Linked DNA regions of Callithrix jacchus. The protein of the gene in region 1 interacts with the protein of each later gene in a biochemical or structural test. Links are inferred from orthologs where the notes say so. Each region holds a gene or a part of one and is shown on either strand. Other genes may lie near its edges.

The links.
Region 2: the proteins of TMED10 (region 1) and COPG1 form a complex in vitro, tested with the Homo sapiens proteins (2 studies listed by BioGRID). The link is inferred for Callithrix jacchus from reciprocal best matches to the Homo sapiens genes TMED10 and COPG1.
Region 3: the proteins of TMED10 (region 1) and COPZ1 form a complex in vitro, tested with the Homo sapiens proteins (2 studies listed by BioGRID, with this or other methods). The link is inferred for Callithrix jacchus from reciprocal best matches to the Homo sapiens genes TMED10 and COPZ1.

What each region holds. Positions count from the first base shown.
Region 1 is NC_133509.1:110,048,673-110,052,320, reverse strand, and holds part of TMED10 (transmembrane emp24 domain-containing protein 10), read left to right. Parts: intron 1-1,426; coding exon 1,427-1,553; intron 1,554-1,976; coding exon 1,977-2,098; 3' UTR 2,099-3,648. UniProt on the Homo sapiens protein: Cargo receptor involved in protein vesicular trafficking and quality control in the endoplasmic reticulum (ER) and Golgi.
Region 2 is NC_133516.1:72,872,830-72,877,112, reverse strand, and holds the start of COPG1 (coatomer subunit gamma-1), read left to right. Parts: upstream 1-1,340; 5' UTR 1,341-1,440; coding exon 1,441-1,477; intron 1,478-2,370; coding exon 2,371-2,423; intron 2,424-3,181; coding exon 3,182-3,262; intron 3,263-3,524; coding exon 3,525-3,596; intron 3,597-3,776; coding exon 3,777-3,856; intron 3,857-4,283. UniProt on the Homo sapiens protein: The coatomer is a cytosolic protein complex that binds to dilysine motifs and reversibly associates with Golgi non-clathrin-coated vesicles, which further mediate biosynthetic protein transport from the ER, via the Golgi up to the trans Golgi network.
Region 3 is NC_133510.1:65,209,522-65,213,169, reverse strand, and holds part of COPZ1 (coatomer subunit zeta-1), read left to right. Parts: intron 1-694; coding exon 695-763; intron 764-2,681; coding exon 2,682-2,763; intron 2,764-3,648. UniProt on the Homo sapiens protein: The coatomer is a cytosolic protein complex that binds to dilysine motifs and reversibly associates with Golgi non-clathrin-coated vesicles, which further mediate biosynthetic protein transport from the ER, via the Golgi up to the trans Golgi network.

The DNA.
Region 1 (3,648 bases):
TCTGGTGGTTTATCCCATTTTAAAGACAAGTATAATCTAAGATTGCTAAGAAAAAAACATAGAATAATGAAATCTTTGCTGGTGTGATACATGCCTCTAGTTATTAGATACTCTTAGAGTTTTCTTAGGGGTCTAAGTTGAGAACAGGAGACAGTTAATTTCTTTCTCATATCCTTCATTCCTCAGTATACAGGGAATTCCCTTCGAGATTTCTTTTGATAATTGGCTGTGTTATTTCTAAAAGAAAAATCAGTGCAGTTTTCTAACATCTGTGCTCTGATATTAAACCTTAAAGTTATTGTAGGATTTATCGGAACAAACCAGAATTCTCTACTTGTGTATTTTGAATTATTACCTTAATGCTATAATAACACATGTTTAATAACATGCTGTCAGTCCTATGTACTGTCCAAGGTTTAATGAATTTAGTGGTTTTTCTTCTGAAATCAGGTTTGACCTAATATGACTCTCAAATTTATTATATTAATAATATTGTTTACTTCTTACACATGAGTGGAAGGGCAAAGTAAAGTGCTTTACTAAAGTCCAAAATCAGCTGGGCCTGGTGGCTCACACCTGTAGTCCCAACACTTTGGGAGGCTCAGGTGGGCAGATTGCTTCAGCTTAGGAGTCTGAGACCAGCCTGGCCAATATGGTAAAACCCCATCTCTACAAAAAAGTACAAAAATTAGCTGGCAGTGCGTGACTGTGGTCCCAGCTACTGGGGAAGCTGAGGCGGCAGGATGATTGCTTGAGCCCAGGAGGTTGAGCCTGCAATCAGCCGATAACATGCCACTGCACTCCAGCCTGGGCAACAAAGTGAGTGAGACCCTGTCTCAAAACAAAAAATTTTGAGACAATAGTATATCTTACTTAATAGCCTACTGTTGTTATATTACTTCTAAAGAGATTTTAGTCAAAATTAAAGTATCAAAAAAGGTCTGAAATGGAAAGATATAGTCTATAGGGAAAGAAAGAAGCCCAAATTTAAAAATGTTAGGATGATTGATAGGGAAGAATTTAAATCTGGTGAAACTTTTAAAATAAGACTCCTAAGACTGGCACAGTAGCTCACGCCTTTAATCCCAGCACTTTGGGAGTCTGAGGCGGGCGGATCACAAGGTCAGGAGATTGAGACCATCCTAGCCAACATGGTGAAACCCCATCTCTACTAAAAATACAAAAATTAGCTGGGCATGGTGGTGTGTGCCTTTAATCTCAGCTACATGGGAGGCTGAGGCAGGAGAATGGCTTGAGCTGGAGAGTTGGATGGAGGTTACAGTGAGCCAAGATCACACCACGGCACTCCAGCCTGGCGACAGAGTGAGACTCCATCTCAAAAAAAAAAAGACTCCTCCGTTGCCTTCCTTATGTTCTTGACTGAAGCAATGTTTTCAGGGAGCTGAAAATATTCATTCTTTTCCAGATTGCAAAAGTTGAGAAGCTCAAACCATTAGAGGTGGAGCTGCGACGCCTAGAAGACCTTTCAGAATCTATTGTTAATGATTTTGCCTACATGAAGAAGAGAGAAGAGGAGATGCGTGATACCAATGGTGAGGGGGAAGGCGACTCTTCTTAAGTGATCCATAAATGAGACCATTCCCAAACTTTGAATTCTGGTGTACCCTTTTCTCAGTTTTGCCAAGACGGGTAAATGGAAGGGAAGTTGCTTGCTTCACTGTTGCTGCTTCTAACGGTAAATGAGCCTTGTTAGATTTTCAAGAAAGTAGAAATTTCTACTGTGATAAATGCAGTTGACAACATCCTGTTAACCTATACCCATATCAAATAGCACCAATCTTTGTAATTTTCAACATTTATATATAGGATAATGAACTTAAAAAAAATTAGCTGAAATCCTACTATTAGACCTAGGAACAGAGTGAAGTTAATTGCCTTTACCCACCTCCCCTGCCATTGTTTAGCCAGCTGAGGAGGCTCACTTCATTATGTTTATAATGCTTTTTTTTTTTTAGAGTCAACAAACACTCGGGTCCTATACTTCAGCATCTTTTCAATGTTCTGCCTCATTGGACTAGCCACCTGGCAGGTCTTCTACCTGCGACGCTTCTTCAAGGCCAAGAAGTTGATTGAGTAATGAATGACTGAGGCACATCTTCTCCCACCTTGTACCTCAGCCAGCAGAACATCGCTGGGACGTATCTGGCCTAAGGCATCCTACCAATAGCACCATCAAGGCACGTTGGAGCTTTCTTGCCAGAACTGATCTCTTTTGGTGTGGGAGGACACGGGGTACCACCTACACCCAAAAAGTCAATGAGGGACTTCTTTTTAATTTGGTAGGATTTGGACTGGTTTTGCAACAATAGGTCTATTATTAGAGTCACCTATGACAAAAAAACAGGGGTTACCTTGATAATGCCAAAGTCAGCATTTGTCCTGGGTTCCCTTGTGTGATCTGTTTGAACCATGTTTTCTTTTCTTCTCCCACTTGCTCAGCAGCTTGGGCTTCCATTGTACTTCTTTTACCAAGATTTTATGTGACCATGTTGACTTCATTCGGATTGCCCTCTTTCAGTTTTCTTGTGAAAACACCCTTAACTTTCCCTTTACCCTTAGCTGAAATGTTTACATAGCTTCTGGTGATACGTTTTCATGACTTTATGTCTCTGAAAATGGTGATGGATGTGACACTTCATAAAAGTGAGCTTTGAACTGTAGATAACTCTTAAAGAAAATGTCATTTCAGGCAATTAAAATATTTGTGCTCAACTGCTTGAACTTTATTCGTGTATGTTTATTTAGTTCTGTGCAATTTTATCACATGTGGATTCATGTGACTACCATCACAAGAGACAGAACAGTTCTATCACACAGATCCCTTTTGCTGCCCTTTTACAGCCACAGCCACGTCCCTTATCCCCTCACCCCAACCTGTGGCTACCGCTGTTCTGTCCACCATCTCTGTAATTTTGTCATTTCAAGAATGTTCTATGAATGGAATCATATACAATGTAATCTTAACGAGGTTGATTTTTCTTCATTCAGTTAATTCTCTTGAAACCAAGTTGCATGTATCAATAGTTTGTTCCTTTTTTTCTTTTAAAAAATGTTTTATATATTTAGGGGGTATAAGTGCAGATTTCTTATGTGCATATATTGGATTGTGGTAAAGTCTGGGCAGTTCTTTTTGATTGCTGAGTAGTATTCCATGGTATGGATGTACCACAGTTTGCTTAACCATTCACCCACTAAAGGACAGAAGAGTTGTTTTCAGTTTTTTGCCCTTACTAATAAAGCTGCTGTGAACATTCATGTACAGGTTTTTATGTGAACATTTTCATTTCTGGGATAAATGCTCAAAAGGGCAATTGTTGGGTTGTGTGGTAAACATTTATTTTTGTAAGAAACTACCCTACTCTTTTTCCAGACTGGTTGTATCTTTCACATATAGCCACTCATACAATTCATACAGCAATGTATGATTGATTGTTTCTTCACATCCACACCAGCATTTGGTATTATTATCTTAACCATTCACATAGATGTGTATAATGATGCCACATATGGTTTTAATTTACATGTTCCAATGGCCAATGATGTCGAATATCTTTTCATGTGCTCATATGCCATCTATATATCCCCTTCAGTGAAATATATGTTCATGTCTTTTGTTTATTTTCTATT
Region 2 (4,283 bases), on another chromosome or scaffold:
TTTTACCTGTCACAAGATCTGTTGCCCCAGGCCTTAGCCTCTGCAAAGCCATGACCCTAAGGTCTGGCCTCTCCCCCATCTCCCCTCCTTAGTGTTTTGCTGTCACCCTTTTCACCTGGGGCCTCTGCCTCAGCCTCCCACAGCCCACTCCTTCTCTTGCCCACAGGACTGCAGGCTTCTCCTCCCCAAGCAAGCTGGGGCTACGCGTTGCAGCGCTTGGCTATCGAAACTTTGCCATTGCCAATGCAATCTGGCTCGTTGGCATGCACTGTGTTTACCTTAACTTCAGGGTGTCCTGCATAGGTCCCCAGGAAGATAAACCTTGGGTGATGTGTCATTTTCCCCTTTCCCCCACCTTTCCGTGTAGGCAGCGCATCTAGTTGGCACTCCATAATTATCCTAAGTATTTACAAAACAACGTTGAAGTTCCATGCTGTTTAGGTAGATCCCTTAAACTTGATTAACATACAAGACAATTTGCATCAGGAGCAGATGAGCTAGGGCCCAGGGATATGATAAAAGTGCAGTTTCATGCATTCATTCTACGAGAACTCACTGAGCAACTACTATGTGACATTATCCACTACGGTGAATAAAAGACAAAACAAACAACAACAACAACAACAAAACAGCGGCCGGGCGTGGTGGCTCACGTCTGTAATTCAAGCACTTTGGAGGCCAAGGCAGGCGGATCACCTGAGGTCGGGAGTTCAAGACCAGCCTGACCAACATGGTGAAACCCCCGTCTTAAAAAAAAAAAAAAAAAAAAAAACCAGCCTGGTGCGGTGGCCCGGCAGGTATAGGCTGCAGTGAGCCGAGATCGCGCAACTGCACTACAGCCTGGGCAGCAGAACAAGACCCTTTTTCAGTAAGCAAATAAATAAATAAATTAATTAATTAAATGCCAGAAAGTAAAAATAAAGAGTGTTAAATGGCAATTAGAGCTAGGGAGGAAATCAGGCGGGGGAAAGAAACTGAAAGCGAGGAGCGGCTGGCAAGTCTCCCTCGGAAGGTGGCAATAGACCGGTCACATCAACTGGGTGTTTACTGCTGGCCAGTGTGTGCCACCAACCTCAAACGCGAAAGCCACAAGGACTGACGCCACAACACAACAAGGCAGGGGCTTCTCTTAGTACACGAAAAGAGACGTAGGGCGCAGAGTTACGCTAGTCAGTAACCCCAGCATCTAGCCCTCAACCCTCCTACTTAGGCCCTCGCCCCTCCCTCCGGCTTTCCCCACTCCTTCTCCGGCGGAGACAGACAGCCTGCGCCGGCCGGAATATGCGCAGACGCAGAGCGCGGAGTGCGCCTGCGCAGAGTGCAGGGCGACGTGGCCGGTTGGAGTCCGGAAGTGGTCCCTGTAAAACTGTCGTCGCTCGGCTATTCCTTGCCGCGCTCGTCGAGCATTGCGTTGCTGCGTTGCGTCCCACCGGCTCCACTATGTTGAAGAAATTCGACAAGAAGGACGAGGAGTCAGGTGAGAGGGCCAGGCCTGGGCCTGGGGGGAAGCGGGACCCCCCCACTCGCCGAGCCTTCCTTTGGGGCCTCTGCCCTGACCCGAATTCTGAGGCCCAGTGAGGAGCAGGAGCTTGTGCCAGGGTCCGCAGCTAGTCAGTGGCAGGCCTCGGAGAGCCCGAGCATGCTTGGCTGTCTCGGTTGTAAGCTCGGACTGCAATTTTCTGAATGACCTTGGGTGCGTCACGCCCCTCTTTAGGCCCCAGTTTGCCCATTTGTCAAAGGAGGGCACCGGGCCGAATGGTCTCTTGTTACTTTCTTCGTCCACCCTCTTGAGGTTCGCCGGGGCTATGTCGGTGTTGGCCAAACTGGGGTGTAATTTGCGGAGCCAGTGTCTTGTGGCTGGGAACTCTGACTCCATCATTCATTTATTCAGCAAAGTGTGTTGAGCGGTTACTGTATGCCAGGCACCGTACGGTGTCCTGGATACTGCAACAGAGCAAGTAGGATACTCAGTGACTGATCTGGGAATATTAGAATGGTCGCACACACGGTGGAGGAGACGGACATCAACCAGATAATCTCATTATTTGCAAATGTGACGTCTGCTATGAAGGAACTGGTTACAGGAAGATGGTGGTCCCTGGCACACAGGGACTTAATTACGAGTTATATAAATGAACGCAAGACATGGCACCGTAAGAAGCATAAGACTGTATCAGGGCTGTTGGGAGATTGTGAGTGGTTTGAGGTAGAATCCCTAGTAGAATCCCTAGACAGATTATAGAGCCTTGATTGCCATTGCTGATGAATTTGAACTTTACTAGATTTGCTAGGAAGGGACATCTTCCCTTTATCTTTGTCTGGGAGAAGTTCAGAATCACAACCTGCCTTCTCCATTGTTCTTGACTGTAGGTGGAGGCTCCAACCCGTTCCAGCACCTTGAGAAGAGTGCGGTACTCCAGGAGGCAAGTGACGTTTGCTCCCCTCTAGCTTCCATCATAAATATTCACCATCAGGGCAACTGAAATACCAACACATTCAAAGTATTGTTTTAAAGAGCAACACGGGAGAAAACTTGTGCCTGGAAGACAGGAAAACTTTGTTCCTGGAGACAATTCGTTATGCTTACTTCTTTTCTTTTCTTTTTTTTTTTGAGACAGAGTCTCCCTGTTGTTGGCCCAGGCTGGAGCACAATGGCACGATCTCGGTTTACAGCAACCTCCTCCTACTGGGTTCCAGCAATTCTCTTGACTCAGCCTCTTGAGAAACTGAGATTACATGCACCCACCACTACACCTGGCTAATTTTGTACTTTTAGTAGAGACGGGGTTTCACCATGTTGGCCAGGCTGATCTCAAACTCTTGACCTCAGGTGATCCACCTGCCTTAGCCTCTCAGTGCTAGGATTACAGGCGTGAGCCACTGTGCCCAGCTGCTTACTTCTTTATTGTTGTCATTCATTGTTTCTCTTTCCAGTTAGCAGATATTTGCTAAGTATCTGCTAATCGGTATGTTAGCACATCCCTAACTAATATTTACACAAGAGTCTAAGAATAATTAGTGGTTGAATTAAAAAAAAACTAATTATGAAAAGAAGCTTGTTGCATACCCAGAAAGCCCTGTTTAGACAAGTCTATTTACCCTGAGACTTCTCAGATATTTAATATACTTGAAAGGAAATGAACTAGGCTGGAAGATAACATCCTTGGTTACTTCTTCTTAGGCCCGTGTATTTAATGAAACTCCCATCAACCCTCGGAAATGTGCCCACATCCTCACCAAGATTCTTTATCTCATAAACCAGGTAACAGGGTGAGGCTTGGAGGTAGGGAGAATGGTGCTGGGGGATTGGAGGGGAGTGGACAAATCATGATCACTCTTAGGCTATTGGACGGCCTCTGTATGGTTGTAGACAACAGGGCAGCTCTGGGTCCCCTCAGCATCCAAGTCTCATGTGTTGCCTTTGAGCGTCTTTAGGGTCTGAGGATCTGGTGTGGGCTGATCCTGCAGGAAGAGCTGTCTGACGACTCTGTCCCAAGCTGAGACTTCTTTCTTGATTAACACAGGGGGAGCACCTGGGGACCACGGAAGCGACCGAGGCTTTCTTTGCCATGACCAAGCTCTTTCAGTCCAATGATGTAAGTGCCCTGACCCAGCTTTTTTTTGACAGGTGGCAGCTGTGACAAGGTGATGGGAGGCCAAGGGGTGCTGGCCCCACCAGTCAGTGTGGGCTGCCTTTGTGTAGATAGGAGATTTCTTCTCCCAACTCTGGCCCTCGGTAAGCCTGGGCTGATAGGCTTTTCCCACCTATCTCTCAGCCAACACTCCGTCGAATGTGCTACTTGACCATCAAGGAGATGTCTTGCATTGCAGAGGATGTCATCATTGTCACCAGCAGGCAAGTCATGGGGTTGTGGGTGGCTCCTCTGATGGATTCCATTGACAGACCATTTTTTCTTGTGTGTACCAGACAGTGAGACTTTTGGTTGCATATTGCCAGCTGCCCTTCTGCCCTTTCCTTTTCTGTGTCCCTTATTCTTCAATTACTGCTGCCCACTGCATGGCAGCCTCCAGGTGTGCTGTTTCCATTTTAATTCTCTGGCCTTGACTTGGACACAAACTCTTCCTTTCCTTGATTTCTCTTAGTCAGCCAAACCAGCCTAGAACTTTCCCATATATTTTCTTTTTTCTTTTTTTTTTTTTTTTGAGATGGAGCCTTGCTCTGTCCCCACGCTGGAGTGCAGTGGCACTATCTTGGCTCACTGCCACCTCCATCTCCCGGGTTCAAGCAGTTCTGCTGCCTGTCAGTTCCTGTATGTAGCTCT
Region 3 (3,648 bases), on another chromosome or scaffold:
AAAATTGAGGTTGGCGTTTGTCCTTGCAAGTTAAGTGGTCCTGGTTAAGGTATAGTGGAAATACTGGAGAATATAGGAAAGTTTGGGGAGATGGCTGTCTTACTAGGCTGCATTGAGAACTGGTATGCCTCTCTGCGTGTGTGTGTGTGTGTGTGTGTGTGTGTATGTAAATGCTCTTTTCCCTCTGCTCAGTGTGTGGGTTGTTTAGGGAAGGCTTGCTTTATGCTTCTGCATTGCTACTGCATTTGGACTGCAGAAACTTCCAAGTATACTAGGACATACAACCCTATTTTGAAATGGCCTTGTTCAGTGCCTTTTAATTAATCTGGTCACATTCTGTAGCCACCTGTGCATGGGAGAGCAGGAAGGGAGAGGGTAATTTGGAAAATAACTGTACCATAATATTTGGAAATAACAGCATGACCTCTCTTGATTAAGCCCCCTATGAGGCAGAGAAACTGTTTCTCTGATGATACTTTGGAATCCTTTGTTGAAATGTTTTCTCTATCAATTCAGTTTACTTACTCTGGGTCTTTCTCAATGGGAAATATCAAAATCTGACCATGTTGAGGTAAGGGACTTACAGAGGTACCTCTGTATCCCCTTGCAGCCCCAGTGGGATTAGGGGAAGTTATCTGGTTTACCAGTGGTAGTGGGAGCCTTTAGGACTGAAGGTATGTTCATATCTCTTCAGGAACCTTCCCTGTATACTGTCAAAGCCATCCTGATTCTGGACAATGATGGAGATCGACTTTTTGCCAAGGTGAGATTCCCTTTCGAATTAGTTTAGGAACAGCACAAAGTCTTATTCTGAGATTTGAATCTTGGGACTGATCCCCTATTAATTCATGTACCTCAGTAGTATAATTTTGAGAATTCTTTCTTTTTTTTTTGAGACAGAGTCTTGCTCTGTCACCCAGACTGGAGTGCAGTATTACCATCTTGACTTACTGTAACCTCTGCTTCCCAGGTTCAAGCGATTCTCCCACCTCAGCCTCCTGAGTAGCTGGGATTATAGGCGAGTGCCACCATGCCCGGCTAATTTTTTGGTATTTTTAGTAGAGACGGGTTTCACCATGTTGGTCAGGCTGGTCTTAAACTCCTGACCTTGTGGTCTGCCCCCCTCAGCCTCCCAAAGTGCTGGGATTACAGGCAAGAGCCACGGTGCCCGCCTTTTTTTTTTTTTGAGACGGAGTTTTGCTCTTATTGCCCAGGCTGGAGTGCAATGGCATGATTTCAGCTCACTGCAACCTCTGCCTCCCGGGTTCAAGTGATTCTCCTGCCTCAGCCTCCTGAGTAGCTGAGATTACAGGTGCCTGCCACCATGCCCATCTAATTTTTCTATTTTTAGTAGAGACAGGGTTTCACCATGTTGGCCAGGGTAGTTTCGAACTCCTGACCTCAGGCCATCCTGCCCACCTCAGCCTCTCAAAGTGCTGGCATTACAGGCTTGAGCCACTGGGCCTGGCCTGAATTCTTCCATCCTTTCTTGCCTACTCCAGATAAAACCCGAGTTTTCTTTTGTCCCTTAGTTGTACTGCTCCCCTGCTTGCTGTCCTCAGACTTTGACCTCCATTGTTGTCAGCATCAAATTAGGGAAAAGCTTTGAAACTTTGGTTCCTAACAAAGCAGTATGTAGATGCTAAGAGGCAGCCTGCTCATGTCCATCATTCCTGTCCCCTTCCCTTCTACCTTGTCACCCTGCCTGGGTTTTTCCGGAGAATTCTCTTGCAGTCCCAAGGTTCCAGTCCTAGGTCTATAGTCACCATCAAGCTTGTTACCTCCTGACTTTCCCAGAGTGATGTTTCCAACTTTGGATCTGTTGGAAGGAAGAAGAAAGGACACCCCTCTCCTCTCCCTCCATATTCTCCCCCTCCTGTAGACATTCTTTCTGTCCCTGGTGTATTAACTCTGGGCAAGCATAGCATAAATCAATCAGCAGGTAGAGATTAGTTTAGAATTCACCAGCTGTTCCTCCCTGTAATTGGATGTAACTATGCAGGACACCTTTTGAAACAGTTATCCAGTTCCTAAATGCCAGACCTGTCATAGGTCTTCAGCTGACTGCGACGGATTAGCCCCTAAAGAGCTAGCAATTTAGCAGCCTGGATCTCAGCCCCCTTGCCAGGGAGAGCCTGGGAATGGGCTCTGTTGTATGCTGGATGGTTCTTTCAGCTTGCAGAAAAGAAAGCTAAGATAGACCATAGGGCAAGGTTTGCCTTTCTTTGGAGGAGGTTTTTGTAGCCTTTCTCCATTCCTCAGCTTCATACAGTGAGTGAGGGTCTAAGGAAGTGTTCTGTGCTTCTGGTGTTTTTTGTGTTCTCTGGCACTGCTCCCTGCCATGCAGTAGCTCCTGGGAAACACTTGATGAGAATACCCTTAGGAGAGCTCTAGACTGCACACAGGCACAGAGCCTCACCGTAGGGCTGGTAGGCTTCTGCCCTCAGACAGTCTTAAACATGTGAGGAGGGTTGCTTATGGCAGGGTCTTTTATGTATTTTCTTAGATTACTCACTACCCATTCTCTGCCTCTATAGTCCTTCCTTTTCCATGTCAGTATTTCTCCCTTGCCCCATGCCTTGAAAGAGAGAAATCCAAGATCCCAGGGCAAAATATAGTCACTAATCATTCTGAGCTTCCAGCTCTAGTGACCCAACCCTGTCTCCTTTCCCTCTGACCAGTACTATGACGACACCTACCCCAGTGTCAAGGAGCAAAAGGCCTTTGAGAAGAACATTTTCAACAAGACCCATCGGACTGACAGTAGGTCATTTTCCTTTCACTACTCCTCATGTTGGGGGGAACCATGGTGGGAAGCGGGTGGTAGCAGGGCTGCAGAGAAAGGATGAAATGACTCTGCCTCCTTTTCCTTTTTTTTCTTCCTCCCCTTGTATAATAAACTCTTCAGAAATGTAATGGGGAGGTGAGTGTACCTCACGCGGGAATACCGTGCTGGAAGGTTGGCTGTTAGCTACCTGTCTAGTTCCTGGATTTATGAGCCTCACTTGACAAATTTAACTGCAGCTCTGCTTATTGTACCGCATCCATTAGGGCAGGTAAATGGAAGTCTGTAAAGGTGACCGCTCTGCATTTTCACCTCCGAAGGATCGACTGGTATCCTGTCTCACATACAACAAGGAGGGAAATAGGTATAGTGGGCAGGAGCAGAGGATGATGGTTAGAGAAGATACATTAGACTCCCCCAAGTTTATACTTCTCTTCTCCTGCCATCACCCAAAAAGTGCAGATCATCTATCTTTGGAGGTCATTATAGTCGATTACAGTCAGCCTCACCTTAGCCCAAAACAGCTGGATACTAGGCATTCATGGGAACTCTTTTTTTTTTTTGAGACGGAGTCTGTCTCTCTCTCTCTCACCCAGACTGGAGTGCAGTGGCTCACTGCAACCTCTGCCTCCCAAGTTCAGTCGATTCTCCCATGTCAGCCTCTCAAGTAGCAGGGATTACAGGTGCATGTCACCATGCTGGCTAATTTTTGTGTTTTTAATAGAGATGGGGTTTCATCATATTGCCCAGGCTGGTCTTGAACTCCTGACCTCAGGTGATCTGCCCACCTCAACCTCCCAAAGTGTTGGGATTACAGGCATGTGCCACCACGCCTGGCTGGTAACTCCTTCTTTCCTACTTGC